Arabidopsis thaliana: one gene and its partner. The protein of the gene in region 2 interacts with the protein of the main gene of each other region in a pairwise test. Each region holds a gene or a part of one and is shown on either strand. Other genes may lie near its edges.

Region 1 (15,755 bases), on a different chromosome or scaffold from region 2:
TACGGAAAGCCCAAATTCTCTTGCATCAACGTGGAGTAACTCTCGGGGATCCAGAGGATGTCAAGCGTGCTCTCCAGTTGGCTCTACATGACGACTGGGAGCACGCTATAGATGACCGTAAGAGGCATTTCACTGTGCTCAGGCGCAACTTCGGAACAGCTCGCTGTGAAAGGTGGAATCCGTTCATTGATGAGCTCAGGGGCTTGGGGAACCATCAGGTGAATGCCCGGCATTACGTCGACTGAGGCATACCGTGCTGGGATCTTCGACTGGGGTGAAGTCGTAACAAGGTAGCCGTAGGGGAACCTGCGGCTGGATTGAATCCTTCTATAGAAAAGTTGTTAAGCAAAGACTGGAGAGGCCCCCGGTCGAGATGTAGTAAGTAGGTCTCCAATACTGGGAGACTGAGGAGAATGGGAGTTTGTGGGTTGAGGGTGGCATGCTCCCCAGGGCCCTCTTTTTTTTAGATAGGTAGGGTAATGCATTTCAGTATGAATTTGATCTAGCAGTGTAAACCTGAGATTTTCAAGAGTTGGCTTCCGCTTATTTTGATTATTAAGCGTAACGAGACTAAAAGAGTCGTGAAGCGAGTCGGAAAGAAAGAGGCGAATCTACAAGAGTCTGATTTTTTATATGTTAACGGGCGGAGATTAAGAGGTGGGCAAGTTGGTAGGCTCCGGAGAATAGAATGCAATGGAGGACCTAACGCCTAGTAAGACGGGGAAGGAGTGTTATGAAAGGGAGGAAGAGGAAAAGCTACTCTTGAGCCTCCTTGCTCAAACCTGCCTTCTTCGGGAACTAATGGATGTCTATTCCGTTCTCCAGCTCCATCAGTCCACTAGCCAGTACCACTTTCAAGTAAGTCTTCAGTACTAGTGTCAGCGGGCAGGTTTGAAGATGTCTTTCCTGGTCTATCTCCAGACTTGGCCAGAGAGTAAAATATGCGTTTTCGCACAGTAAGGCACTTTAGACTTTGATTTCCGCTAAATCTTCAAGATAAAATGTCTTTGCCTCAGCTTCACATATGGCTTACCATCCTCTTCTAGTAAGGAAGTCCTTCCCGCCCTTCCTAACCTTACCCGTAACCACGACTCCCTTTGATTATCATAAGTTAATATTCAAAATGTGGGTCTTTCTCGTCAGGTCTATGTTCTTGCTTTCAATTCAATCTTTCCAATCGGGTCTAGAATGACAATTTATCCCAGACAAACAAGTCTCCTCTAGCTTAAGGAGTAGTCCATAGCTAATAATCTATGGTACTAGCTTATTCCAGTCATTGAGCACAACTTCCTTTTCTGTTTACAGAGAATAGGATAAACCTCTATTCCATCCGGGCAAATAAGATGCTCGCTCACTCCACTACGCCACTTGCTGTGCAGTCTCCAATACGCCACTTGCAGTTCCACAGAGTGTTTTTCTAATCTTCTTGAGTATAAAGAGGAATCTAAGGGAAGACACTTCATTGCGGGAAGCACCACACGCCTGCTTCCTCCTCTAAGCAAGCAATAGCCAGAGCTCTGAAGCTGAAGTGAGCCAAGCTCAACAATCTTGAATGGCTTACTCACTCAAGCAGTAAGGCGACTCCGCGGGCTCAATCAGAGGTTCCAATGCAAAGCCCAGCTATGAAGCGAATAAAGAGCAGTTCGCACTCTCGGTGGGATGGGTCGGGTTCGGTCAATGAAATGCCTTTTCCAAGCACGATCAGGCTTCAGGGTAGCTTCTGGGAGTGCTCTACGAGAAGGCATATGTGTTACATCTTGAGATATTTGTTTAGGGCAAACGGTCACCGCCATTTCTCGTATGAAAGGCTGGACTGTCGCAATCAAACTCTCCGCCTGCCGGATCATCTCTATCAACCGTCTCGGCCGCACCTTCTTCCGCATCTGTCTCAACTGCTCCTTGTGCGGGACTCTGGATACCTATAAAGCTCCTCTGGGCAATCGTATTGGTTCCAATCAGCATTCCTAACCTCCGTCTTCTCCTGAGCGTCTGGACTGCACTGAGTGCCTGGACTGAAAGGATTCTCTTTCGCCATTTAGAACTTCCCCGTGGTAGCATAGCATAGTAGTGCAAGTGAAAGTAAATAATCAAAGACGTTGAAAAAAAAACCTTGTGATCGATGTGGGACCTTAGATAACAAAGTAGCGATAGGGCGCCTAATTCTGGTCATTTAGAGCATCTTCTCTTGATTCACTCAGAAATTACCCTTTCTCTGAAAAGCTTCAACTCAATCACTTGGACAGAGGGATTTGGCCTACCAACTGCAGGCTCTGGTGGGGGAACGGTATCCATTGCCTGCTGCCCCATCCCAATAAAACGTGTTTCTCAACCACCCCTGTCGACTTCGCACAAGCCAACCTTGCACTAACCCTAAAAGAAAAATCCAGTATAAAATCCCGAGCGGGGAACCACCAAGTGCAGCTAAAGCAGGGCCGCTAGGTCCGAAGAGTAACTGCCCTTCTGACTTCCCTGTCCGGGATCTCTTCACTGAATGTGGAGGCGCGTAGCGCTGCGAAAAAGAAAGGGTTGCCTTCCATGCCAAGCCAGCACATGGACCGGATTGTTACTCGCTACGCGCCTCTGCATGGTGAGATGGGAACAAGTTGTCATGATGTATGCAGGTAAGTGAGCGATGAACGCCTGTCTCTGTTGCTGCATGTGCTGTTTGTTTGTTTCCGAGGTGGTGTGGTCTGCCCCCGAGGAATGTCTAGGAGAAGGGTTTTCTGCTGTGATTGCACCAAGTGCAGCTGCGGGTTAGTATCTCTTCCTAGGTGGGAAGGGGCACGACGAGGAACGAAGTCAAACCATACCACGTACTCACACCATTGTTCATACAATGTCTATAAGCGGTGTTTTCTGCGATATGTGCTTCTGGCTCTCCACAAAGGAACATCTCCAAGGGAGGGGGCGTGAGCTGCTTAAGCTTCATCCCATCCCGAATCCTTGCAATTAACACACCACGAAGATAGGGACTGAGAGGTAATCCTCTTCCAATCCACCACTCGAGTGGTAACCGATCAGGACCGACTAAAAGCTTACTAGATAACGCCTGAATCCGACTAAAACGCCGGGATAGGGCCTTAGTGTAGTGTCCATTTGTCCTAGCACGCGGTATCCAGCTTTATTTAACCTTAAACAAGTCTTAGGACTTAACTTGTACTTATAGGCCAACTGCTGAGTACCAACGAGGAAGTAGCTCTCAAGCACAGCTTTCGCAGATACTGGGGATAAGTCCTTCGACATTATCTTAACCCAGAACCGCTTGGCGAACTCAAGACAACCCGTCTCAGATACAATAGACTTGGCATCAGATATATCTACTTGCAAAGCATCAAGTAGAGAACGGTACTCCTTAGCCACACTACGATCGGCAATGACGATGTCATCACCTAACAAAGCGTAGTCGAGAAATGGTCTCGTCTGATGAGGATATGCTCGTAATGCTGCCAACCACACAATAGCATGGTGGGACAACGCGAATAGAGCCCAGGAGCCGTAATAACCCAAAGGTTGACCTGCAACAAACACAACTTCGTCATGCCGTCCAGTAACGGACTTCAAAGAGCATGAGTTGAGTGCTAAGGCACCATTGACAATGCACGATGCCATCGTTTGACCGAAAAGGCACGCCATAAGCTCATATATGACTGGAACGGGCCACCGATCGGTGGCAGCGCTCAAGTCAAAACTTGCTATAAATCTTGGGCGTCTCTTTGCCAGACGATGGATAGGACCTTCTTGATGGAAGGTACCGTCTTGAGAGACCATTTTTCTTTAAAGAAAGTCCCGTTTTAATGATTTACAGAAATTTCAGTTTTTTTTGTTCAATTCTTCAAAAAAAATACTTCCTGCCAAAGCGAGCAAGTCGCCTATTTCAGGGAAGCTAAAAGCATGTCGTCCCGCCTATAGTCGTAGCCAGTTCCCTTGCAGGCCTTGATTAGCAAGGAATAGAGAGAGCATTGAAAGTACGTAACTCTCGAACTTGTTTCTCGAGAGGTTGTGAACACAAACTCGACTGATAAAGGAGAGGTCCGGAGGTATTAACTAGTTGATGAGGTCTCGACGAGCGACTAAAAGGAGAGGTACTGACGTGACTCGAGTGAAACTATATTGAGGAGAGGGAAGGGGACTTATGTAACTATATTCCGAATCCTTCTCCCCATCAAAATCTGCCTCCCTTGCCCATAAGGAGAGAGTCTCCCTAGTGAGGAATCCTTTAGAACTGATGACGTCCTAGCTGTGAGCTGACCCAAGAGCTACACTGATTAGGAAGCAGATTCCGCACAGAAGACCAAGCAAATCTCCTCTTCTAGTCTTACCCCCAGGCTGTGGTGCTACGAGATGGCAATTTATCGTATAGAAGAATAGATCCGTGGGCCTATTGATTGACCATAGATCATAGAACCGATCGACTGCTATCTAAGAGAAGATAAGTAGTTCTTCTATCGTTCAAGGGCAAGGGGGAGAACATGTAGCGGCTTGCCTAGATCTCGTATTTCCCACGTAGTCCGTAGGTCAAACCAAGGATTCTCTTCACAGTCTTAAAGGATGTATCTCTCCTTTGCGCTGACTTATGCTCTGCGAGCTAGGAGCGCATCATAGGGGCAGGGCGAAAACGAACATAGGATCATCATCATGGCCCTTTTCTTCTTTCTTTTGCTGCTGATCTCACATCGAGAGCAGCTCCTTCTTGTTCAGGGTCATCAGATGAGAGATCTTCTTCCGACTCCGAGAAATCGGTCAAACGGGAGGCTACCCTCTCCTTTTAGTCGAGTAATCAATCCCTCGACTCATCTCTCTATCCATAAAAAAGCCCTTCCCAGAGGAGAGCGGAAGCTCCAGGATGAGTATGCCCTGGATTCCCGGATTCATTCTCGTCCTGATCCACTCTGGAATTTTCGGAATCTACAAAAACATTCTAGGAAAGGGCTCGTAATGATCTTCTCAAAGATCACAAGGTGCTGAAGTGGCAGGATAGGAGGGGGATCCGTAGGTTTTTGTGAAAGGGATGCTCTTACTTATCATGTCTGAAAAGAAAAACCGAATTCCTCGATTTCATTCGATTCATCCACATTTCCATTTCTTGTAGAGGAAGGCTAACTGTGCTTGCTGGCTGGGAGCTGTATGAGCGGTAACGTCCACGTACGGTTCCGTGAGAAGGGCGGTGGACAGAAATGGCCTTGTTGTACCTTACTCTCGTCTTCAATGGGGTCTGCTCTTTTTTTTTTGGGAGAGTATGCCAATATGATCTTAATGAGGTGCGGAACTTTGCATCTGACATTCGTTGGGCTTCCCTCTTCGGGAGCCTGCGTCCCGGCCGTTTTTGTGCAATAAACCCCTCCGGCCGAAGACTAGTGGTAGGTGGTCCCGCGTAGCTTTCGGAGAAGGGTAGCCTTGTGTGTAAGCACAGCAATGAACCGCGGCGAACCCTCAGACGACCTATCTAAGATTAGGGGGGGGGGGAGATCCTCAGTAGTGGTGACCCTTTCACCTCTTCCCACGGACTGATACATGTACCGAATGCTCATACGGGAAAGTTGACTCCTGGGTCTGGAACCTGGGGGGTTGCTCCGAGAAATCCTTTCTTTCTCGTCCACTCAGGGGGGTGCGGACACACCCGCGCGGATTACAGGTGACGGTTACAAGAATGGCGGGGAAGTGAACAGTACCCGACGACATTCAGGGATGGATGTAGACCCATCGGGCAGGGATAATCATTCCGGTCCTGGGAGAGGTATTGATTACTCGACTAAAAGGAGAGGAACCCCATCGACTGAAAGAAGAGGAGAGGTGGCGACCATTTTCAAGAACCAAAAAGACTGAACTGAGGGAAGCCCTATGAGTCACTGAAACGACGGCAGGAGGGGGCCTTTGATTATAAAAAAGGGGAGCAAAAAACGAGCTTTTCCCCCCTTTACAATATGAAGAAAGAAAGAAGGGTTGAAGTTTAGACCGCTCACAGTAGTTCTACCTATAGAAAAGATCATGAAAGAGGCGATCAGAATGGTACTCGAATCCATTTACGATCCCGAGTTTCCAGACACATCGCATTTCCGCTCGGGTCAAGGCTGCCACTCGGTCCTAAGACGGATCAAAGAAGAGTGGGGAATCTCTCGCTGGTTTTTAGAATTCGACATCAGGAAGTGTTTTCACACCATCGACCGACATCGACTCATCCAAATTTTGAAGGAAGAGATCGACGATCCCAAGTTCTTTTACTCCATTCAGAAAGTCTTTTCCGCCGGACGACTCGTAGGAGTTGAGAGGGGCCCTTACTCCGTCCCACACAGTGTACTACTATCGGCCCTACCAGGCAACATCTACCTACACAAGCTCGATCAGGAGATAGGGAGGATCCGACAGAAGTACGAAATTCCGATTGTTCAGAGAGTCAGATCGGTTCTATTAAGGACAGGTCGTCAGTCTACAATAATTTGGTGTCCGATTTTCGGCTAGTGGACAGCTATACCAATAATCCTGTATACAGCTGTATAATATTTTTTATAAAGGATTATCGGTGAGCAAGAATTAAAATGTAGTTTTGAGTTTCGTTAGTTAACCTACCTTTTTCTTTTGGTGGTGAGTTTCCTTTTAGGGGGTTACGAGCCTTTAGCATTCAGATTGGGCAATGCGAGATAGATTGATTTACATTTACCTCGAGGATAGTCTTTCTTTTCCAAGCGCGCTTTCCCAACCTGCCATATGTCCGATACATAGTCGAGGGCTCTATACGAGCGCCTTTCTTTCAACTCTATCTATTCTTGCTTTTCAAACATTGTATTCCTTATAGAATATCATCTCATGTCTATCTATAGTATAACGTTTCTCATAGTGGCATAGCGGCTCCGAGGTGATTCTTTCTGGTATCCGTCCTCTCTCATACTGCTTTAAGGTTGGAGGATTTAGTTCAAGCTAGTCTCCTATGGTGAAGATCTCTATATTTGTTAAGACTGTATGAAAGAAATCACATATAGTAATCATCTAAGAATATATCTATACTATAATGGTTGCATCTAACATTTCTCATAGTGTAGATAAGGCAGTCCCCGGAGCTAAGAAAACTACGCTATTCAAAGCAATCCGCCCAAGGAAGGCTAGCTAGTCGAGTCTAATGCTAGGCTAGGTGATTCCTCTCTATCAATGACCGAAGCTTAATCCAGAGAGAGAGCTCACTATACCACCAGGTTGCCACATTTGCTTATGAAACAAGAACAGCTTATCCCGAGGCTCTGAAAGACTGAGGGTAGTCACTCAAAAAGTAATCCGTCACTTCGCCCGAAAAGCACTATAGGGGATTCCGGCCAAGCGAGCATAAAAATACAATACCCAACTTTCTGTTTCAGCCCACTCCACTTCATTGACCGAGACTTTCTATTCCGAACCGGTTCGGTTAAAGACCTAGCCACGAGACCAACTCCGGGCTGTCTCGTAAAAGATCAATTCCCAGATGCTCTTACTCGACGCCCACAGGCAAGCTTGTTTAGAGAAGGAGAGTTCTCTTCATCAGGGAAACTGCTCAACCTCCACTATTTCCATAAGCATGATTATGCACTAGCAGACATAAAGTGCCAAGAAGAGAAAACGCATAACTCATAAGCCAAAGATGTATTCGATCCTGAATTGAACGTAATTTTTTCCGATTGGTTGGAAGGTAAGGATAGCATGATTGACTGGTTGCGGGTCCCTTGGATCATGGGCCACAGCTATTTGGATAGATTCAGATCCTTTCATGTAGTAGAGTCTTTGATGGGCTCGGATCCTTTTCATGATTTCATGTGAGGACACCTTTGGCGGGCTTTTTTGATAGATCCAGGATTTCTGTGCGATATCGATCTTCTCTTTATGGCTTTGGTTAATCTATCGTCTAGCTGTCTTGGTCTTCCGAAAAGGCGAAGACAAACGCATGGATTTACTGTATTCTATGACTAAACCAGAATCACCCCGGAGTGAGCTGTTCCATAAGGGGCTCATATTATCCGACAGAGCAGAGCTATCATGCCGAAGAAGCCTTTTTCTTTCTACGCCCCGGTGGCATCTTGACTTTCCTAGGTCTCTAATAGTTCCCCATAAAAGAGTCAATGGGCTGAGCTGATCGAGTCCCATTTTCTGGCTGCAAGGCCCGGCCCGAGTAGTCAATGGTTGCTACCGCTCACTGCGCTTCTCTGTACCATTTCATTTCTAGTCAAAATGGATCCTGGGCATATCTACTGACCCGACAAGCTGACGTAATTCTATCCATCCGTAGCTGTCTGTGCCGCTACCTCTATCCAGCAGATCCAGTGCCAACCGATCTATATCTAGCTTTGGCCGGCCGGGCCAACCCACCTATACAGAGTTGATGCCATGCCCGCCTAACCACGAAAGAAAGCATCCAATATTTCAAGACTTTCTCCACAGAGCTCTAAAATCCTTTCTCCGAAGATCCAGGCTCACTTTTTTAGGCAATGGAATGACCCGAGCAAAGGAAAGGGATCAAGGCAATAACTACGCGCATCAAGGTGATACCTAGACCGAGCGAATCTGACCGTAGCCTATCATACTGAGTGAAAGCGTGCCGAACCAAGGGAACTTGCCTTTAATCTTAGGCTCGCAGCTACTAGGTGCGTACCCTTGAACCTAGCTCGCCCTAGGGTACAGGCATTGAAAGACGGCTTTCAGAATAGGCTTTTTTGTACGAAGAGAAGGTTACACTACTATATAAGATAAGTAATTCATTATAAGATAAGTAATTCATTGTGCTAAAAGAACCACTTTGAGGATCAATCCCTTACTGAATGAATGTCCTTTTGATCAGTGATCACAGAAGGAGAAGGCACTGTGAATGAGAACCTCTTTCCTTTCTGGCTACCAAACGTGCTAATAAAAGAGCTTATTCTGAGTTTGAATTCCTCGAATTCTGTAAGCTAGCTTGGTCTACCTGCTTTGTTCTGATTTCATTGTATTCCTCCGTATTCAGCATTCGCGCCGGTGTCACAAAAAGCAAAAGCATATCAATTCGTTGAGGCAACTAGTCTTGGTAAGGTTTTTTCCACTGAATGAGAAGTTTGTATGATCCAGATGTTTTGAAGGCGTGTTTGCCCCTGTGATACGCGTACGAGGAGTCGACGGGGAAGAGCCGTGCTGGGGTTGGAAGAGGTTCCAGCTTTAGAGGAGCCTCCCTATCTTATCCCTTGTTGGTCTTATTTGACAGCTCAGCTTTGTCTCGGGCAGATTTTGGTCCATGATGGACTCTTTTTATTTATTTTGACGATTGGATTTCTATATGAATGGAAAAGGGGTGCTTCGGATCGGGAGTAAAGTGATAGGGCACAAAATGGGGGGAAAAAGAAAGGAAAGAGAATAATGCCCACGTTTAATCAATTGATTCGTCATGGTAGAGAAGAAAAACGGCGCACGGACCGTACTGAAGTTTTGGTCTTTGGTTTGCTGGTTACACGTATTATCCGTTTTGTACATTCTGTTTTGTTTCCCATCCCAGTCTTTTGCAGCATAAAAGTCCTTTTAGATTCCTTTTGTTCGCTTCCTATTATAAACAAACTTTCCAAAAAATGGCAACTGATTTGGTTTTATGTTATTTCAGTTATTCTCTGTAAATCTTTATTTGCTGTAGGATACTTGTGGATGGACGACTTAAGTCGTGCCATTTCTCAGTTCTACCCGGTGGTATCCGGAGGACTAGGAGGAGGAAATACGCCAATGCCCCCGACAAATCCATCTGAGGGTGGTCTTTTAGAAGGATATTATGCTCATGAGAATGAGCACTCTCACGATCAGCAGAGGGGTTCACCTTTCTGGTCGAAAGAGTACAAGGAAAGTGGCTCAAAACGCCTTTTCTTGAACCTCGAGGTAGAGGATCAAAACACAGATACCATCGGGGAGCAAGTAAAAGCAGAGAGTGATAAATGCGAAAAAATCAAGGCAAAAATAATAGCAAAAACACATGAACTCTTAGTATCCGAAGGTTACCATATTCCGGATGAACGGGATATAGAACGAGCAATAAATGTTGTGATGACTGAACATGAAATGATCGATATCGATCGGCGTAAGAAAAGATTCTACTATCTTTATTCCCGGTTAGGAAAAAACGGAGACAAGTTTTGGGTGGAGCTACTGGAATTGCTGTCTGACTACGACATAAATAAAAGCGATTCCGACGACTAAACCGCCATTTCAGGTTTACGTCTTTTGTTAGGTCTCGACTTCTTCGCTATGATCTTCCCGGTAGTTCATATAGGAGCTATAGCCGTTTCATTCCTTTTCGTTGTTATGATGTTCCATATTCAAATAGCGGAGATTCACGAAGAAGTATTGCGCTATTTACCAGTGAGTGGGATTATTGGACTGATCTTTTGGTGGTGAGTTTCCTTTTTTCTTTTTTTCGCTATGCGCCGCTCCGCCAGCAAGGAGTGCCACGCACAAGCAGAGCGAAAACAAACAAAGCAGGGGAGGGGGAATTATTCGTTGGGGGAAATCCTTTGATTGCGTATTATAGATCCATGTCTTTCTTGTTCCACTAGCTAGGACAAAATTTGCACATGTCCGTTTCGTTATTACAACCTTCTTTTTTGATGTCAAAGACCAGAAGCTACGCGCAAATTCTCATTGGGTCTTGGTTGTTCTTAACAGCGATGGCTATTCATTTAAGTCTTGGGGTAGCACCACTAGATCTTCAACAAGGTGGAAATTCTCGTATTCTCTATGTACATGTTCCTGCGGCTCGGATGAGTATTATTGTTTATATCGCCACGGCTATAAACACTTTCTTGTTCCTATTAACAAAACATCCCCTTTATCTTCGCTCTTCCGGAACCGGTATAGAAATGGGTGCTTTTTTTACGTTGTTTACCTTAGTTACTGGGGGGTTTCGGGGAAGACCAATGTGGGGGACCTTTTGGGTGTGGGATGCTCGTTTGACCTCTGTATTCATCTCGTTTCTTATTTACCTGGGTGCACTGCGTTTTCAAAAGCTTCCTGTCGAACCGGCTTCTATTTCAATTCGTGCTGGACCGATCGATATACCAATAATAAAGTCTTCAGTCAACTGGTGGAATACATCGCATCAACCTGGGAGCATTAGCCGATCTGGTACATCAATACATGTTCCTATGCCCATTCCAATCTTGTCTAACTTTGCTAACTTCCCCTTCTCAACCCGTATCTTGTTTGTTCTGGAAACACGTCTTCCTATTCCATCTTTTCTCGAATCTCCTATAACGGAAGAAATTGAAGCTCGAGAAGGAATACCAAAACCTAGTTCACTCGCTCTCTTTGCATCCATGGCTGAATGGTTAAAGCGCCCAACCTAATAAAGAGGCAAGTAGGTTCGATTCCTGCTGGATGCACTTGGAACGTTCAGTTCAATCGCAGCTCACAGAATCTAAAGAGATAGCTCGCCCTTATAGCTTATGGGGCATTTCACTCGCTCAACACTCGTTCAAAACATCCACTCGTTCAACAGGAAAGAAAAGGTCCAAAGGATCTACTTCTCAGGATGGAAAGAAGCAAGAAAGTCTAGAGAGTCGAAATGACCTTGGTCCAACCATAGTAGGACTGATTCGGAAGATTCTATCCTATTCTTCTAAAAAGGAGTTCTCTAATTTAACTGGACTTGAAAGCGGTGGATCAAGCCCCCCTTTTTCTTTGGCTGTGTCCAAGTGAAGTGAAACTCGGGAATGAAGCAGATAGGTCTCAGTCGAAGAAAGGTAGCCCTATTGGGTCTGGGATTGCTTACCTTTCTTTCCTTCTACAGTACGCCTTAGGTTATTCTAAACCTCCACTCTCAGTCTACTTTTGAATCGATTGCCTTACCTATACCGACCCTACTCAACAGGGGTCGTGAACTATGAAAAGCCTGCCAGGCAGAGAAAAAAGTGCAAAAGCGATTGAACAAAGTCGCTCCGGTTTGGATGCAGATGAGGGAGAGGGTGAAAGCTTTCATTTAAAGGTAAAGGGAAGGGAGGATTACCTTTTTGGTCTCATATAATTAACTCATGCTCAAGCACTTGAACCTGGTTAAAAGCGGACCGAAGTTTATCCTCTTTCTCTAAAGCATCATCTGAAGGAATTCGTACCGATTTATAACAATTTATAAATACTAACAAGTAACAACGAATTCAATTGCCAGAAACTGTGTAAATAAATAATCAAATCTAGATCTTGGCGTTTGAATATACCTGGATATTCTGAAGGGGAAAGGTGAATCATATTATCTCGAGATTATTTTAGCACCCCAAGTGTTGTGCCTCTACCGGTATCCACACGCACACAAACTAGATCAGATCTGGAATGCTAGTTCCTTTGAGATCTAAACTCAAAACTTTAGACAACTCTTTGTCTCTTTATTTTAGGGTTCTTGTGATCAAAAGTGTATCTCACAAAAGTTGCTAATATATCATATATACAGCCAAACGTTTAACCCTAACCAATTAGGGTTAATAATGGGCAAAAGCCCAATAACTCTTTTAATTGATCCAATTTGCTTAAGTGTATGACCCTGTAGGTTTGTATAATATTAGCAATGAGTTCTGACTCATAGATTATAAGCGGTCTCTTGCAAAATATTATAACCACGTAATATTATACAAATGTCAAACCTCGACATTACAACTTTAACTAGAATAAAGTACAACTGATTTCAGGACATTCCCAACAATCTCCCACTTGTACTGGAATCATCTATTCCCATAATCCCTTTGTCTCTATATCTCGATCTCAGCATAAGGCAAGAAATTGTCATCCTTATTCAGCTAGACCATGTTTATCGAACTCCAATTTATACTGATAAAACAAACGACTGACATTCACCTTGTTTGAGCGCGGCCACGCATTTTTCAGTATCAAATCTTCGATAGGCCCAAAGATATTTATCTCCCGTTATATGGGAGGGACAAATTCCATCTTGTTCCATCCCTGTTCCTTAAACAATTCATAACGCGCCCAATCACTGTCTATATAATCACCTTTTATGGCTGACGTTTGAAAGAGTCAAAGCGAACTAATCCATGAGTAAGAAATCATGACGAACTCAGGTCAAAGGACTATACTCTATAGTTGTGATGAGAAACTCTTATGACACTCATATAACAATCTTGTAGAGTCCTCATAACGGGTCAATCCAATATTGTGTTCTCTAACACATATATATGTGATTGACTTTAATACCACATATTAATGACTCCATGAAACTTAGTCATCAGTCACCTCACATACTAGTCATTCCCAGTTATTAATGTCCCATTTTCATAACCTTGACTAGGGACTTCAATAATATATGTCATTTTCCACTTACAGGGTTTCATGATCAAGTCACGTACTTGATGACCTATAAGAATGATATCAATTTTTTGGGACTGTTATTTAATTATCAAATAAATAAATAATACTGAAACGAATTTCATTAATTTGAAATTAAATCCAAATGTATTTTAATATGAACATCATATCATAAAAGAAAAAATCTCCCACTAGAAATAATATCACATCTTTATAGATCTAATGCCAATCGAAGCAGTATGACTCTCATGCTTCGGCTGCGGAAGAGGTTTGGTAATAGGACCAGCAACATTTGCATCCGTTGAAACTCTGCTAATCTTCACATCACCTCTACCAATAATCTCACGAATGAGGTGATATCGCCTTAGAAGACGAAAGACAAAACACTTTGTGGAGAAGTGTGGTTTTAAGTTTGATAACGGATATGTCATTCCTTATAACAAAAAGTTGTCGCTTCGATACAGGGCTCATATTAATGTTGAGTGGTGTAACTAAACAGGATCCATCAAGTACTTATTCAAGTATATCACTAAAGGGATGGATCGTGTAGCAGTTGTTGTTCAGCCTCATGATGAGCCTACGAAGATTACAAATTCTAAAGAGAAGTCTACAAGCTCAAGTAGTGGAAAAACAATTCAGGATGAAATTCAAGATTTCTTTGATTGCAGGTATTAAACATATCTTTTACTTAGTAGCTATATCTAGATTAGACATATTTTTCTAACATGTTTTGTGTTTTTTTAACCAGATATGTATCAGCATGTGAAGCTGGTTGGAGAATTCTGAAAAATCCTATACATTACCGGTCAACATCCGTTCAGAGGTTATCCTTTCACCTACCAGGGAAACAACTTCTGTTTTTTAAAGGTGATGATGAGGTACAACACGTTTTGAAGCGTTCAGAACTACAAAATTCAATGTTTCTGGCTTGGTTTGAATTGAATAAACGGTGTCCTACAGCCAAAGATCTCACATATACTCAGATTCCAGAGTATTTTACCTGGGATGGTACAGCAAAAACTTTCAATCAAAGAAAGCGACCAGGGAATACGATTGGAAGGATAAATTATGTTCCACCTTTTTATGAAGAAGGTTATTATTTAAGAGTGTTTCTCAACACACAAACTGGACCTGAGAGTTTTGATGATCTAAAAACAGTTAATGGTGTGGTTTATAAATCCTTCAAGCAGACATGTTTTGCTTTGGGTTTTCTAGATGATGACCAGGAGTATATTGATGACATAATAAGAACCAGTTTCTAGGCAACTGGAAACTATTTGCGTTGTTGTTTGTTGTAATGCTCCAGTCTACAAGCTTTTCTCAACCAGAAGTTGTTTGGGAAAAAACTTGGGAACACCTATCAGAAGATATAGAAAGAAAAAGGAGAGAGTACTTTGACTGACCAGGTACCATAATTTTGTATTTTACAGATATATGTTCTATATAGATCTTTACATTTTATTGGTTTGATTATTGATTGTTGCCATGTCATGTTATATTCGTCTGCAGAACTAATATTGTTTGATGAGCAAAAACAGATGTTTGCTTTAAAGGAAATCAACAGTATCTTACGAAGCAATGGAACATCTCTAACAGCTTTCAAGACAATGCCACAATTACCAGAAGAAGATGATGATGATAGTAATCTTTTGATACTTGACGAAAGAAACTATAATCGGAATGAACAGAGGGATAAATTTGAAGAATCGTTGCAGAAGATGACAGATGAGCAAAAGAGTGTGTATTCTGAGATCATTGAGGCAGTTGACAATGACACTGGAGGTGTATTCTTTGTCTATGGTTTTGGTGGGACTGGAAAAACTTTTATATATAAGACACTTTCAGCTTCACTAAGATCTAGAGGTTCAATTGTGCTTAACGTTGCTTCAAGTGGGATTGCTTCTCTATTGTTAGCTGGTGGGAGGACAGCGCACTCTCGATTTGGTATTCCAATTAATCCTGACGATTTCACTGTATGTAATATTGAGCGTGGCTCAAATCAAGCCGAATTGTTGAAAGAAGCGTCTTTGATTATTTGGGATGAAGCTCCCATGATGAGTAGGCATTGTTTTGAATCTTTGGATAGGAGTTTGTCTGATATTATAGGAGGTGTTGGGAAAAAACCTTTTGGTGGAAAAGTAGTTGTTTTTGGTGGTGATTTCAGGCAGGTACTACCTGTTATACCTGGTGCTGGTAGGGCAGAGATTTGCATGGCTGCTCTTAATGCTTCTTATATTTGGAATCATTGCAAAGTTCTCAAGCTGACCAAAAATATGCGGCTGTTTTCAAATGATTTGAGTCCAAGTGAAGCGAAGGATTTAAAGGAATTTTCAGAGTGGATTTTAGTTGTTGGTGATGGTAAGATAGCACTACCAAATGATGGAGAAGTGATGATTAACATACCCGACGAGTTTTTAATCAAGTACGCTGATAATCCAATTGAAGCAATAAGCAGGGAAGTTTATGGAGATCCTAAGTTA
Region 2 (16,532 bases):
ATTTGAGATCTTTTTGTGTCCGAAACTCTATAGTCTCTGGTCTTCTTCTTCAGTCTCAACGAAGCTTAAGGGGAAGAAAGGAGATATATCCTTACGATTTTAATCTTTGGGATGAAAGAAAAGTCACCAGGTTAAGATATTTATTCAGTAAATTACAACATGTGATAAAAACTGTTTGCTTTAATGGATGTTAGTTGAATGATTCTTGAATAGAATCCTATCCATTATAAAGAAATAGTATAGTGTAGACATTGAATATATAAAACAAAACTTTGAATAGAAAATTCTGATCTCAATCTCTAAGAAAAGATTCGAATGACTAAGACGGACGATCTAATCTCTCGCTAAAGTCTCTGTAGTTACAGCAACCAACCTATGTACTTGAGAATCGAGACTGAGTCTGATCAGATAAAGGCCAAAACGCGCGGTCCTACGCCGTTTTGGTGGCCACATGTTAACAAAAAGGGTCACGATCCAGTGATTCACGTTCATTCACCACACGTGCCGTTGCATTGCAACTGTGCAAGACAAAATCTCTGAATTCATCTCTTTTCCTGTTAAATATTCCATTTTACTTGGAGAAATGGAGATCTGATTATACAAGAATAACATTCAATTAGAGGAAGAGGGAGTTTACTTGTGGATTTGTCTTAACTGGTTTCTTATCCAGTTTGAAAGCAGCAAATATAGACTCAGTGTGGTTGCTGCTTATCATTGTCTCGCGTGAATTGAAGGAAGTTTTCTTTGATGACATCTTTAGAATCTCGTACAAGGTTGATCGTTGCCTCGTGCTCGTCTCCTTCTCCACCACCGTCGCCTGTAATGTTGTTGATCTCTCTTGTGACTGTGAGGCAGTGAATTTTGCTGGAGCTCTTTTTGGTCGGCTTTTTTCTTGAATAATCTGCATAGGTTATTAAGAAGGTATTTAAATATGTGTACCAGAAATGTGTATGTTTATATAGGGAAGAGCTTTACCGTCTCTGGAACTGAAGGTTCCTCTGCCACTGAATTTGAGCTTTTGCTGTTACTGTCATCGCGTTCGAATATATAGCCACGTACAACATTTGAACCGCGCTTGCGAGATCCTTCTGATATGGAACTCTTTGTAAGTCTACCCAAGAACGATGACTGCAAAAGATTCACGGCATTAGTAAAGTTGCAATTCATTGTCCTATTTTTAAGAAGTCTCAAAGTGTGACCTATCTAGTATCTACGAACTTTATTGGTATACGAAAGTAACTGAAGAAGGCTTATACCTTGGATGCTGCAGGGTTTTTGTTTATTTCCATGAGTGCCCTCTCTTTAAAAGCTGAAAACAATTTAAACAAAATGGTTAGAAGCAATCAGCAATGTGTGTATAAACTCAGCTGATGATTACAAATACAGGGAGAAACTTGGGTGGTATCTTACAAGAAGGTTTTGCTTTCTTCTTGATCTCAGGCTTCTTGATGTGGCGAAGAATTTCTTCAGAGTTTTCATCCGCAGTGGATGATGAAGACTTGGCCTTTAGCTCCTGTTCCAAACAACAATGATCCATATTAATGGGGCAGCACAAGCGAAACATCAAACAAGCTTTTCAATCTTTACTATATAGAGAGGTATGGTGGATCAAATGATAAAATATGGAGCAGACAGGGCTATTGAACCGGGATCACTTACCATTTTCTTGTACAGTCGCTGTTGCAGAAGCTTCTTTTCCATTTCCTCATCGTCTGATGACACATAAACATCATCTTCATCTGTGAACATTAAAGGGATCATTTCCTTTATTTTCTTTATGGTCATTCGCATGGAATTTGCATGACTTGGATCTTCTTCATCTTCATCTTCATCTTCATCTTCATTGGCTTCAGGTTTTTGCACTTCTTCACCATCAGCACCTTCAGGCCTCTCTTCATCATCATCATCAACATCGTCATCTTCATCTTCAGACAATAATGTTTCATCATGCTGCACACCACGTTTAAGCTTCTGTAAGAGTTTCTCTGTCCCTGCAGCATCTTGTTGCTCGAGCCACTTCTGATGCAGTTCATTACGTCTATCTTTATCAGTTGGATCTTCCTTAAATTGACTGACAATCATATCCCTGAGATCATCATCGTCTTCATCTTCGTCATCATCCTCATCCTCAAATCGGAGTAAATCATTGTCACTGTCATCTTCCTCTTCAGCATCCTCATCAATAAATTTTCTAACAGGGTCGCCAGGAGAATCATGGATCTCCGGATCAGAATTTCCCTTTATGTACTCTGCTTCTTCGGAAGATCTGCAGATGTGGATTAGTTATTGCATGGAAAGCAAAGTATACACAGTATAACTTAACATTACAGAAACAATTGGCTCTTCTGGTCATATCACAGAACACAAGCTATTCATATACTGAAAGTAACATCTGTCCATAATATTCTTATGAACATGTAAAGACTGCGTTTTGAGAAGCTTGCCAATATTAGATAGACGAGCAAATCAAAGTTATAGTCAATTCAGTTTTCGCATGTAACCACATCTAAAGATAGACTCACTTGTCAGGCACAGGAGACAGGTTTAGTTTGAGGTTCATGGCAACTACCGACGGTGTCATTACTTCTTCCAAAGATCTGCTTGACATCTTCTCAAGAAGTTCATCTCCAGAGTTAATCGTTTGTGGACACACGGATGGATCCTAACCAAAAAAGGAAAAAAACTGAGAGAGTCAGCTTGAAACCTGAATTTACAAACTAGCCTTTGAACCACAGCATAAATTTAGCATTTGTAACGTGGAAACGAAATGAGCCATTCAAATTATCTGCAGATGGGGTTAACATAATGGAAATGTAGGTATATATAGTTACAGGTTTTAATCTTCAAATGTTTGAACTTTATACTAAGTCTGGACTCTCGAGAAGAATTCAAATATCACAAAACTTTGATTAAGGACCTCAAAATCCAAAACTAAATCAACAAAAACAGAAAACAACTTCCTATTGTGCAAAGATCTAAAGTATCAACACATGAGTTGGCTCACCTGATGAGTAGGGTTACTTTCAGCTTCTCTTTTAGAGGGACTGTCTGAGTTCTCCGACGGACCTGCAGAGTCCTCCGAGCAATGCTGTCCTGCAGAATTTTGCTTGCTTGTTAAATTCATATCTTCATTCATCTCTTCAGCTACAACATCTTCAAAATCATCCCGGTCGCATATGTCAATAGATTTGGACTTCTTCCTACTAAGGAATCTGCCAACAACACAAATGATAACACACAAACACGGTTACTAAGAAAAGAGATTATAAGGGAAAGTAGTAAGGGAATATAGCAAACTCACTGTTTTGAAATCTCTTCTTTTCTTCTGCGAATTTTCTCCAAGACAGATGAAATCGGCTTTCGGACAAGAGGGGCTGCTTCAAAGGCAGCATCTCTCGTTTCTATCATGAAAAGAAAAACACAAACAATTTTCAGTTCCCTGCAAAACGTTGAAATGAGCACTGAAGAGTGTTTTGAGAGTATCATACCTCGCAAGAGTCTCTGGTTTTCTGCACGAAGCTGATCAAGATATTCCCTTCTTTCCTACAGACGAACGAAGAACAGTAACACCAATTAAACACAGGAGAAGGAAACACACAAACGAATAATGTTAACTCAAAATGAAACTAGTAAGAAATAGAGAGAGCTACCTTCTTAGTCATGTTCATGGAAGCAGTAGAGACTGGCAGCTCATCAAAGTCATCACTCTTCTTCTTCCTCTTCTTATCTCTCTTTCTCTCCTTTCCCTCTCCATCACGTGTCTCCACAATTGGTCGCTTCTTTCCAGCTTCCTTCGTTTCCGGAACCCTAATTTCCTCTTCGTCTTCACCTTTCTCACCCAATTCCTCCATTGGGGAATCAAATTCATGCACAGTCGTCTCGAAATCCGGATCCTCCTTTTCAGATTCCGTCGTTTCAGAAACCCTAATTTCATCTCTTGTTTCCGAATCAGAGATTTCGCTTCCACTTTTCTCGCCCAGATCTTCGATCGTCTGATTAAACTCAGGCACATAATCAAAATCAAGTACCTTCCTCGCGGTAACTCCATCCTCTACACCCAAACCGTCGAGATCAGATGGAACCCCATCTTCTTCCTCAATCCCATCGCAACCCTTCGCAGACTGCAATTCAGACTTACCCAGATCCTCGCCGTCGGGGTTTTCGGAATCGAAGGTTTCAGATCCAGGACATGAATCGGAGATCAATTTAGCTTTCTTCAATCGTCTTAGCATCCTGTTAGGAACTGGGACACTCGATTCTCCAATAGGAGAAAGCTGATCATCGTTCATCATCTTCGATTGTAATCGCCGGACAAAATTGGAGAGAATCTTACGGTGCCCAATGTTTCTGTTCGTTTGGAAGAAGACAAGTCAGTGCCAAAAGGGTGAAAATGAATAATTTGCTTGAGGATTTACGCGCCAAACAATTCGAATTTTGGCGCCTCTATTTTACGTTGAAAAAAAAAGGTGAGCTTTCTTCGCTATGCAATTCCGTCAAAAACAAAAATTAGAAACTAAGATTAAAAATATATATATGCAATATGATAGGGGATAATTGTTTCGTTAATTTACAATTTTGTAAAAATATCGTAAAATGATTATTTATACCATTATGATTCAAATATAAAAGCTAAAGCCATTTTGAATAAATCATAATTTCGAACACGGATAATTGATGATATAATAACAAATTTAGCACATATTACTAATATCGTTTGATTTATAGCACATAAAAATTTAAACTTGTATAATATGTGTTGCTGACTATAAACAAAAAAACAATAACAACTAGAGCTAATTGCGTAGGAGACTCGGTTACACAGTTGGTCTCCCACCTAACCACTCCGATTGTATATATTAGATATGATTCCTCGAGTACTACTACTATAAGTGTTCCACGTATATATGTAGTACACGACCACAATGTAACGTATCCAAATATTCGTATGCAAATTAATATACATATTTTGTCAACGTTTTATAGATATTTCTAAGTGTAAATCCATGATTATGTCACATCAGTATATATAAGATTATATAAATTACACATAGAGAGATGAGATAGATTAGATGGATCCTCCTGAAATCGTGTTCTCACGATAGCTACGAGCAAGGAGCACCCTAGTTAATAAGAGCCGGCTAACAGAAAATTGAGAAGAAAAAAACAAGAATAGTTTTTTTTTTTTCGTAGTTAATCCTCATGATTCTCTAAAATCTATCGATCTCTCTCCCGTAATAAAATTTCGGAGAAAGAGGAAAACCCTAATCCCCTCTTTCTCTCGGATCATCAACAAGAAAAAAAAAAAAATTATAAATGAAAATGAGGAAGCTTTGTCCAAATTTGGACAGAGAAGACGGGTTAGAGACGGTGTTAGAGGTTCCGGTGCCGGAAGAAATGTTTACAAAGATGGGAAGCAACGCCCAAGGGCGGTGGAGGAATATGCACGCTCTCATGAAGGCACACGCCGTTGTGACCGCGGTGGCGACTGATGTAAGAACGCCGGCGTCATCGTCATCGATGAGTAATGTCAACATGCATTTGCAGTCAAAATCAGACAACGAGTTTGTGGCCTTGTTGAAAATCGTAGGAAGTCCTCTTATTCCTTTTCATGTCCCGCTCGAGTTTTGTCTATCCCGACCAATCAACGACACTTCCATCGTACGTATCTTATCATTAATTCAATCTATTGATTTTTGTTTAACCTTTTGATGAAGTGGGGTTATAGGTTAGAATTCAAGTCTTTCACTTGCAGTTTTAATTTTGGTTCGTTATTCTTAATGTTTTGAATGGCACAATTTTCAATGATTCTATAAACCATGGGAGGATTAGAAGACTACTAAAATTTTCCAATTTCAAAAAGAGAAAAATGTATAGAGATGGAATGTGTAGCGATTATTAGCCCTCAATTTCTTTATGAGATAACAAATAGTTCTTTTTTTTTTGATCAAAACAAATAGTTCAAAAATAAAAAAAGTTTTATAGGATAAACATTTTATCTTCTTTTTTTTGTTCGTATGAAACAAGTTATCATACAATTTACGTTCGTCTAAGTAGAAAGCAAACCTATTATGTGGAATGTTGATAGTAATGGTGTATTTGAAGGAGGCGTCGACGGCTAAATACATAGTGCAACAGTACGTGGCAGCGTGCGGAGGTCCAACGGCTTTGAACGCAGTGAAAAGTATGTACGCGGTGGGGCAAGTAAGGATGCAAGGCTCCGAGATGGTTGCTGGAGAGGACGAAGGGACGGGTACGCCGGTGCGACTTGGTAAAGGCAGTTTCGAGGTCGGAGGTTTTGTTTTATGGCAAAAGAATCCAAATCTTTGGTTCTTGGAGCTAGTGGTTTCCGGTTTCAAGATTAGCGCTGGTAGTGACGGCAAAGTGGCTTGGAACCAATCCTCTACTCAACCTTCTCAGGCCCACCGTGGTCCTCCTCGTCCTCTCCGCCGATTTTTTCAGGTGCCCATGCATTTTTAACCTTTCAATGCATATTATCGACTATTTTACGATTAAACTTAACAAAAATGACAAAATTTGTAGTATAGTGGTTTTGATCGCCCTATCATATTCCATGTTCAAACATGGGAGCACTCTTGTGAGTTATAAACTTATAAAGTACTAATTTAGTAGTAAATTAGAACTAAGCCAGAGAGGAAACCAGTCAAAATGTTCATAACACCATTAAAAAAATAAATCCTAGCAATGATATACACCAAGAAATACAAAATTTTGATTGTTAGCAAATTTTAATTGTTACAAAATTGTTATTAGCAAATTTTGATTAACATTGTTACAAAATCTCGATTGCTAATAAATCCTATCTCATATTATTAGCAATTTTTGCCTTAAAAAAATATAAACTTACCATGACTAAAGATTGACCTTTTGACATTTTTCATCTGTTGAATGACGTGGCAGGGACTAGACCCGAGATGCACAGCGAGTTTGTTCTTAGACGCCGTTTGCATCGGTGAACAACCCGTTAACGGTGAAGACTGTTTCGTCTTAAAAGTAGAAACACCGTCAGATATTCTCAAAGCACAATGCTCACCAAACACGGAGGTGATCCACCACACGGTATGGGGTTACTTCAGCCAACGAACCGGACTTCTCGTAAAGTTCGGTGACACAAAACTCGTGAGAGTCAAATCCGGAAGAGGCAAAAACGACGGCGTTTTTTGGGAGACAAGTATGGAGTCCATCATCGACGATTACATATTCGTTGACGCAGTCAACATTGCTCATGGTGGTCAAACCGTGACCACACTCTACCGCTACGGTGGAGCTGTTAATCACCGGAGAAGAATAGAGGAGAAATGGCGTATCGAGGAGGTGGATTTCAATATTTGTGGATTGTGTTTGGAGAGCTTTTTACCACCGTCGGATATCAACAATGATCATTAGGCACGATGGAGAAATCGTTACAATAGTCTATCTTTTTCTTCTAGATGTTTTTTTTTTTTGTTGAGGTTTAAATAGGTCTCTTATACACACCTACCGTGGATTTGTAACAAAAGGAGTAAATATGTAATTTTGAGATGGTGGTGTACTGTAAACTAATGTTTTAAATATATTTCAATTGTCATTAGCACTTTCGTTTTTATTTATTTTTGTGACTCAATTGGAAATTTCCATAATGATTTTATGAGTTTCATTAGTTCAAAATTTTTTTTGAAAAAATAATCCCAATGGACCAACCGAAAATGGGCCAATCATTTCACTACATAGCCCACTAAGATAATACCGACGTAAGTCCGTTAAGAGGGAAACCCTAGATTGCGAGATAACAAAAACATGCTCCGCTATATAAATCCTGACAAATCTCAATTCATAAACAACAACCGATCTATTCCTCCGCAGTTATTCTTCTTCGTTTGCATCGCCTCTGGTATCTAGAATTTGTTCGAATATCGATTGACTCTTGTAGTTTGTTATGCTCTGTTTTGGTTTTGATTTCGATTTTGATTGGGTTTAGTAGATGCATCTGTTTGATTTACCCACTCCTCTATTACTTGTAGAGTAAAAATCACAAAGTATGGTAGAGGAGTTAGAACGGATGCTTATATCGAATTAGGTTATCTTACCAACCCATTGCTTTTTTCTGTAGCTTTGGCGTCAAATGAATCGACCTATATTGTTTTAGTTTCTTCTTGTTTTTTAATTTTTGATTATTGGCAAATGAAGAATTGATTAATTTATGCTTAACCACTGATGAACAGTGTTGACAAAACATCTCCGCTTATTATCTGATGCCATAATTCGAATCTTAGTTTTTTTTTGTTGTTGTTGTTTATCAAAACAATGATGAGATATTAGCAGACGGGCGGTCTGAATTGATGCCGTGTAGATTGTCTGCCATCGCTACTATGTAGCTTCTCTGAGTATTTGATCTTATTACATTTTCTCTTTGGTTGCGATGATGATGTTGCTAATATATATGTCTGGACTTATGAGATTATTCAATCTTTGAAATGATTGTGCAACCTTCTGAGCTTACTATCAATATTAAGAACCTGTTTTTTTATATCATGTATTAGTAACCATCAAAAGATCGGAAGTTTAATATTTGCAGGTATTGGTAGGATTTTATGTTGAATGACACCTTTTTTTCAATCAAAATTTCAACCAATCCTTCCAATTACTTGACAACCATTTCTATAACACAATGGAGATTGCGGAATTCTTGAAATTATCTGAAAATTGGGACATGTCGGTTTCATTGTAAACTGTTGACTTAGAACTTTAGGAATCCTCGTGTTAACTACAAAAGAAAGTCGCAACACCTCCTTCCAACTTTTATTGTCGTTAAATAAGTTGCATTCGAGTTTTGCCAGATTGTAGTATTTTAAAGGGGTCGTACTTCTCAAGATTTGGAGGAAAGGTGTTTTCGACTCTTTCGATTCATCGTTGTGCACAGCGTGTCTTCATGGCCATGGTTTAGATGTCGCTTTAGATTGTTTCTCTTCAAACTCCAGTTGAATGTTAAGAGATAGTTTGGAATGTAATAATTTAGTTTTCTATTGTAAGTTGTGTTTATCTTTCGTACCTTCCATTTGTTGTAATCGCATATTTCTCATAGTGTATAAGACCGTCCCCAAAGGTTAAGAATCCATTGGTTCTTAATCTTGTATCTTAACAATTACTTAAACTAAAAAGCAAATCTTAGTTTTTAAAATTTTTTCAAAATTTTAGTTTTACTTAAGAATCTAGTATTTTTTTCATTCATAAAAACTTCTTAGCTAAGAAGCAAATCTTAGTTTTTAATCTGTTTTGATTTATTTTTCAAAATTTATTTTTTAGATATTAGCCAAAGATACATCTAAATACACCAATAGTGGTGCTCTAAATAATCATATAATTGTGGCCATACCAATATTTATGTGTGAATTGGACTTGGATAGATTTCGAAATAAACATGTATTTTTGATTCCTTGGGCCTTGCTTTCAAAATTCTATGGCCTCTAAGGCAATTGACACGTGGAGTATGCAGAATCAAGTATACGTGAATCTCACGTGGCGTGCCGTACCGTTCAGTTACCTTAAAATATAATTTTAATCGCTGTCTCTGTTGTTGTCCACTTGTCTGAACTGCAAGCGTTAGGTGAATGTCTTTACTTTTCTTCTCGCAACTCTTTTCATGAAATCAGTTTCAACTTTTCTTCAGCTGACTCTTCTCCGACTTGTCTCATCACTGCAAAGTTCTCTCTTTATTCCTCGTTCTCTGTTTCGGTACTACCCTCGTTCTTCTTTTTAAAGTTTGGGTCTTTCATTTGATTTCATACTCTTGATTTTTATTTTACATCTGACGACTAGAAAAGTAGGTAGATTATGAATCTTTCTGGGTTTGTAGTGAGTTTATAGGAAATTCCTTTGTCTAGTGTTCCAAAATTTGAGTAGATCTTGAACAACTTTGCAAATCTTGTTGATCGATATGTTTGGGAATTGAAAATTTACTAGATTTTGAATTTCTGAGGTTTTGTGTAAGCAGTTGAATGAAGCAGTAGGTGGTTGAGTCATGTTTGGTCTGTGATGTCCTGTCACACGCATCACATGAACCTTGGCTTTGGATTTAACGGCCGTTGTTAGTATTAGGCTAATTATTAACATGGCTTTTGTTCATTGTAGTTAATTTTCACAGAGTAAAGAGATTTTGATACATTGGACCCAAAGTGCAATTTTCAAAAATGTTTCGCTGGAAGAATTCTTCTCAAACCGAACAAGAGCAGAAAGAGGCAGCTCTCAGAGAGGCAAAGGTCAAATATTTCAAGGCCTTGTTGATGATTTTCATTTCACTTAATTACCTAGTTGATTCGTAGAAGCTATAATGCCTTCTGATTTTTATGATTATAGATGAAAGAGCTTAAGACTCTCATAGGTCAGCTTTCTGGAAGGAATTCACTGTATTGTTCAGATGCATGTCTGAAGAGATATCTGGAAGCTAGGAATTGGAATGTAGGCAAAGCCAAGAAGATGCTCGAGGAGACGCTCAAATGGAGATCGAGTTTTAAACCCGAGGAAATCCGATGGGTATGTATCATAACTGCATCATGCTACTAAATCTTAGAGAATTCCTATCCAACCAAAACTTATAATTCTTGGTTTCTATTAGAATGAAGTTTCAGGTGAAGGTGAGACTGGTAAGGTTTACAAAGCTGGATTCCATGACAGGCATGGAAGAACGGTTCTTATACTGAGACCCGGCTTGCAGGTTTCTATTCATCATTTTTCTTAGTTAATGAGTTAACTTCAGGTCACAAGCTGAAACTTCCATTTTCATTGACAACTTTTGTAGAACACAAAATCGTTGGAGAACCAGATGAAACATCTGGTGTATCTCATTGAGAATGCTATTCTGAATCTGCCAGAGGATCAAGAACAGATGTCTTGGCTTATTGACTTCACGGGTTGGTCAATGAGCACTAGTGTGCCTATTAAATCTGCCAGAGAAACTATTAATATTCTGCAAAATCACTACCCTGAGAGACTAGCTGTAGCTTTCCTCTATAATCCTCCAAGACTCTTTGAGGCGTTCTGGAAGGTTAGACAAAACAATACTTCTATCTCATAGTTAGACAACAAGACAACTTTGTTTGTGTTTTGTTCGTCTGTATGTGCAGGAACATGATGGCATTTTCATTTTTTCTTTAATTATGTGTTGTTCCACAGATTGTGAAGTACTTCATTGATGCAAAGACATTCGTCAAGGTGAAGTTTGTTTACCCAAAGAACTCGGAAAGCGTGGAGCTTATGAGCACATTTTTCGACGAGGAAAATCTCCCAACCGAATTTGGAGGGAAAGCTTTGTTGCAGTATAACTATGAAGAGTTCTCCAAGCAAATGAACCAAGACGATGTTAAAACTGCTAACTTTTGGGGATTGGGTCACAGTAACAATAACCAGCTGCACGCGAGCAACGGGTTTTCTGGAGCTGAGATTGCCCCTGAGCCAATCCAAAACCACCCTTGACTGGTTCTGAAGGCAATGTATTATTAAAACCAACCCTTTTGAAATGGACTAACCTTAGCTCTTGATGCTAAGTAGAGAGGTTGTATGATTTAGACATAGCATTTGATTAAAATAAAGAGGGTTTGTGTGTATTAGTAACTCTTGCAAGGCTTGTAAGCGAATCCAAAAACTCTTTACACTCATAAGCATTTTATTTACAGGAAGCAGAAAACAAGATTCGCATTACCAGCAACAAGCTTTGTTTCTTTCAATCTGAATCTCACCAAACACAAGAAGAAGGGAAAATGATTTCTTTCAAAATTTGAAGGCACAAAGAGATTAAAAAGTACATAAAACAAAAATTATACTACACAGCAGTATTAGCTTAGACTATATAGCTTAGAGTTCTGCAGTCAAAAGTGATGTGCAACGGATTGGAGTTAGAGGGAGAGAGTAGATGAAGCTTGAGGCAATTTGAATGAAACTAGATAATCCTCCTTCTGAAGTTTCTGGTGGTCGATTGATAGGTACGCACCAGAAGGCCAACCCCAATGCCAAGACCTACACAGACACCAAGACCAATTCCCACACCAACCCTCACACCAGCGTTGAACCACGACATCTCACCATCTTCACCATCTGCGTACTCTCTATTCCAGTACATGTCGCTGTGTTCTCCTTCATATTCTTGTTTATAACTTCCATATTCAGTAACCTGCACAGAAATTAACTCCCATACTTAACAAAGAAAAATAATTAAGAGACATTCATAGCGATAGTCAGAGAAAGAATACAATCGTCATGCAATTACGCTAATGGTCTTTTTGTTCCAATCTTATAAACTCTTTCAAATGTAGAATAGAGGCTAATGGTCGAAGATATAGACATTGCACTATAGTTAAATAATCTACGGTGAGTATGAAGATCTATCTCCAATAGGTATTGACACTGTCAACTGCAAGAGCCTCCAATTAAAACTTCAAGCATAAGCTATTCTTAACATTGACTCTTAAACAGGGCAACGTTTCCCAAATCAGTCTATGCATAAATTAAAGATAATATACTGTAGCATTACATGTGAAAACCACGATATTCCAACCAATAAGTCACCTTAGAACTGACTGTAGCAGGCAAAAGGATAAGAATTCAGATATTAAGATCACAAGACAAGAGGCAAATGGGAGAGAGAGAGTGTGAGTGAGAGATAGAGAGAGAGAGGGCGAGAGCTATCTATTGACTTGTAAAATGTGGCTGGCCCCATACCTCACATGATCATTTATAACGAAGTTGGTCCACTTCAATATCTAAAGGAATTATCTTCCTTAGAGTACCAACTACCAAGAAACATGTCTCAAAGACTCAAACTATGAAATCTCAAAACCATGAAAAACTTAATGCTCATACAGCCAATAGTGACCATGAAGACTCATATCTTAGGAAAAGCATTCAAAGCATTCAATCAATATAAAACTATTCGGAAGCATTATAATAATCTTGAAAAAATGAAGTACCAAGCAATTAAAAGTTACCTGATAATCAAGCTCAGATGAGTTTCCTTTATGAGGCTCATCAGTTTCATACTCGGGAATCGAATCTAATGCAGTCACTCTACCGTGCTTCTTTCTGAAACCAAGCTGTAGAGTCTTCGTTAGGATGATAGGAGTTCCAGAAAAGCAGCCAGTGACATAGACTTCAATAGTTGGCAATGGAGAAGATAACTCCGAACCACCAATATGTTTCTCCTTCAAGAAACCAGACTCTGCAGTGATCTCAGCTTCACAATTCATGTTCCACCGCTTCACGCTATGCTTAGATTCACCAGTGAAACCATTACTACCAGACATCTCAAGCGTTCCAGACAAAACCAGCTCATCTTTATCATAAACCTCAAACTTCACACTACCAGATAACCTGATATTATCCGTGCTGATAAAAGTAGCAACTTCAGATTTCTTATCAACACGATCACGCCTAAGCTGAGAAGAAACTCCTTCAGAGTACATGCTCATTCTAACACCATTAATCTCCAGAAGTGAATCTGGATCCAAAGGAATATGAGTAATGGTGAGAACCTCAGGTGTCGAATGATCCACCTTGAAATTACTGATTCTGACATAGAACACTCTCAAATCAAGCAATGGCGATGATAATGAAGATGGTAGTCTGGAATTGTGATGGTTATAACTCTGATATCTGATCATCTGGGATGCTTCACCGTTGTTACGTGTCTCATAAGGCTCCACCATGATTAAAGAAAACCAAAATCAATCTCTGTTTCTCACTGAATCCAAAACATATCCATCAGAGACGCGTATATTGTCGATTTGGATTGGAATACGTGTGCTGCAGAAAAATTGGAATCAATGAGAATAACGTGAGAAACATTCATTCCCAAAATGGGGAAATTTAAGGCAATAAAAGAAGCAAAAATCATAACTAATGAAAGAAAGAAAGAAAGGTCAAGATTGAAACTTTACTCACTTGCCACAAAAACAGAGAGATGGTCAAAGAAATCAAAATTTACAGATGCAGAAACAAATCTCTCCAATGTTCTATTTAGAAACCGCAGAGATTGAAAGAAGGTGAAAACTATATTTTTATATCACAAAGGAACAACCTTTGAAGGTAAAACAAAAATTGAAAACCTAGAAAAATCCGGAGAGAAGAAAGGAGAGAAAGAAAGCAAAAAAAAGGAAAGGGAAGCTCACCCAGAAATTTGTTTCCATCCACAAAAAAAAATTGTGAATTTGCACAACTAGTGCTTAATATTAATCTTCCTGTCTGAATCAGAAATTAAACACGGAAAATAATAAAAATAGCAAAAATTTGTGGCCAAGTAGGATTTTTAAGATCCTTCCTAGATCGTTGCTTTCGATATATTGCGAGCTCGGCGCGTGGCGTGGCGACGGACCCCAATTGATAGTCCCAGCAAAAAAAATATGTCTTTTTTGAAGAAAACAAAAGAAAATATCGAAAGTGTGTGAGTCGGAAAAAAGGATCTACAGTGAAAGGGAAAAATAAATCAGAAATCGGGAATAGTGATGGGAACTCGATAGAATTGTCTTTTTATGATATCCAACGAGAAGAGAGAGGCAAGAACCAAGAGGAAGAAGAAGATGGGCTCTTCTGACTTTCTGATCACGTGATCTTATCCCTTTACCAACAAAACAAAACCATTCGCTGTTTACGAGACACACCGCGTCGGTTGTGTTCATCTAAAACGACGCTCATTTTGTTGTTGGTTTTTCTAAACAGTAAGTATTGGGCCTTTATTGGGCTTTTAAATTTACTCCATTTCTTAAGGATTAGTGAACATCGTGCCGTTTTTCTGTTAATTGATCTCACTCTCACATTGTGATCTTATTCATTGTATTCAAAATTCAACTATTCATTGTTCAACAGTATAGAGAATGTCACGGTTCGAACCTCACATGATCGATATAGGTCGGTTTTCAATTAGTATCGAATTATATAAATTCATCTTATATGAATGTCATCATTATGGGTTTGTTGTGAAATGAAGTTTATGTCAAGACCTCAAACCTCACACACAGATTGTAGCTACCAACCGGGTCGTGGTTAGGTGGTGCCGTGGTGGCAATAGTCTTGCATACTAGATTTAAAGATATACTTCTTCTATAATGTCTAGAACGTAGACTGTATATGAACCCTAACTCCAAGGATATATATGTCATACTTGTATTATATTGGTGGATAATAGAGAAGAGATAACCAACGGACAAAAATAAAATCTACTTTTTCTTCTGATATTTTATCTAAACACCAAAGAAATGGGCGGCTTTTGGTTTTTAAAGACTGTTGTTTTTGTTTCTGTCTGTAAAACATAAAAGAAAATTTTATTGCTCTTGAAGATATTAAAAATCAGACAAGCTGTTCAAGAAAAATATTATTCTGTTGAATAAAGTAAACTGATGGGGAAGAGAAGGTTTCAGAAAGCAAAGGAAACGTCGTCAGTAGCAGAAGCTTCATCTCCGACGGAGTCTCAGGCTACAAGGAGACGAAGAGGAAGGCCAAGGAAGAATCTTGAGAACCCAGAAGATTTCAAGAAGGAAGAATCTGAGGAAGACGAGGATTACGAAGAGTACGAGGACGAAGAAGAAGAAGACGAAGAAGCTGAGGTGGTTATTAACAGAGAGAAGCTGAAGAAGAAAGTTAGGAGCAGTAGTGGTAGTATGGAAAAGGAGCAAAAGATGAAACATGAAGAGTTAGAGGAGGAGGAGAAGCCGGAGATGACGGTCAAGGTAGTGGTTCCACCGCCGTCGTCTAGACGGTCGAGGAGGAAAAGCACGCCGGTGAAGAGCTGGTAAACTTTAATTACCGTATCATTAATTAATGGAGTTTTTGTTTTTGTGTGTGTTTTTGGATTTAACTATTGTTGGATTATAAATTAATTGAAACTCTCATGGGAAGAAAAAAAAACAATTGATTTTTGGATTTGTTAGTTCAAAACAAGAAACAAATCTTGTTGATCTTAGTGTTATTTTGGTGCATCAAAATAACTTTAAAACATATATGATGGTGAAGACTAAATTAAATGAATTGTTTCATGAGAAAGCTGTTTAGGGTTATTGTTTTAGTTGTAGTAGGTTGTTTAATTTATTGGTTGCGTAGTTGATGGATGGTTACGTCCCTTTCGAATTTTTATACGATAAATGATAAAAGGTACCATCGCACATGGTGGAACGGATAAGTTAAGAAACTAATGGATATTGCTGGTGAAAGAAGAAACCTGTCTATTATTAAAATCTTTTAACCAAATAGCTGTAATTGTCGATTAAAGTTGTACAACTAATTAATCTTGGAGCAGTGAGAGAAAGAGACTCGACGAGTCCACGTTGATATACTATTTTAATACAAGACATTGTTGGCCCTGCAAGGCCTTCACGTGCGAACTCATCTTCAAAAACATTCCCAAAACATCGAAACCTATCAAAGGATTGAAACTGTCTAAAGTTTTGATATGATTTCGAAACTTTAACATCTTTCCACAAGTTAACACTGTTAGATGACAACAAAAAACAAAAAAGCTTTAGACCAAGAAGAAGAAGCTTTAAAGGCTAACAAAA

Evidence for each region.
Region 1: the proteins of AT1G75180 (region 2) and AT2G07749 interact in a protein complementation assay, tested with the Arabidopsis thaliana proteins (one large-scale study listed by BioGRID).

The regions. Positions count from the first base shown.
Region 1 is NC_003071.7:3,235,247-3,251,001, reverse strand, and holds AT2G07749 (Mitovirus RNA-dependent RNA polymerase), read right to left. Parts: upstream 3,769-15,755; coding exon 3,028-3,768; 3' UTR 1,645-3,027; downstream 1-1,644. Other genes in the region: AT2G07777 (ATP synthase 9 mitochondrial), read left to right, coding at 1-245; AT2G07776 (uncharacterized protein), read left to right, coding at 4,636-4,965; AT2G07655 (uncharacterized protein), read right to left, coding at 4,799-4,889, 5,019-5,443, 5,518-5,679; AT2G07773 (cytochrome B/B6 protein), read left to right, coding at 9,343-10,164; ABCI5 (Cytochrome C assembly protein), read left to right, coding at 10,539-11,309.
Region 2 is NC_003070.9:28,204,221-28,220,752, forward strand, and holds AT1G75180 (Erythronate-4-phosphate dehydrogenase family protein), read right to left. Parts: upstream 14,582-16,532; 5' UTR 14,154-14,581; intron 14,111-14,153; exon of another isoform or gene 13,927-14,110; intron 13,789-13,926; 5' UTR 13,692-13,788; coding exon 12,975-13,691; coding exon of another isoform or gene 12,879-12,974; exon of another isoform or gene 12,567-12,878; coding exon of another isoform or gene 12,552-12,566; exon of another isoform or gene 12,161-12,551; coding exon 11,930-12,160; 3' UTR 11,616-11,929; downstream 1-11,615. Other genes in the region: AT1G75150 (DNA ligase-like protein), read right to left, coding at 489-518, 638-901, 976-1,128, 1,257-1,309, 1,411-1,513, 1,660-2,266, 2,523-2,662, 3,005-3,212 and 3 more; AT1G75160 (DUF620 family protein (DUF620)), read left to right, coding at 5,314-5,658, 6,103-6,459, 6,919-7,404; AT1G75170 (Sec14p-like phosphatidylinositol transfer family protein), read left to right, coding at 10,185-10,253, 10,351-10,527, 10,610-10,708, 10,793-11,038, 11,167-11,466; AT1G75190 (uncharacterized protein), read left to right, coding at 15,378-15,773.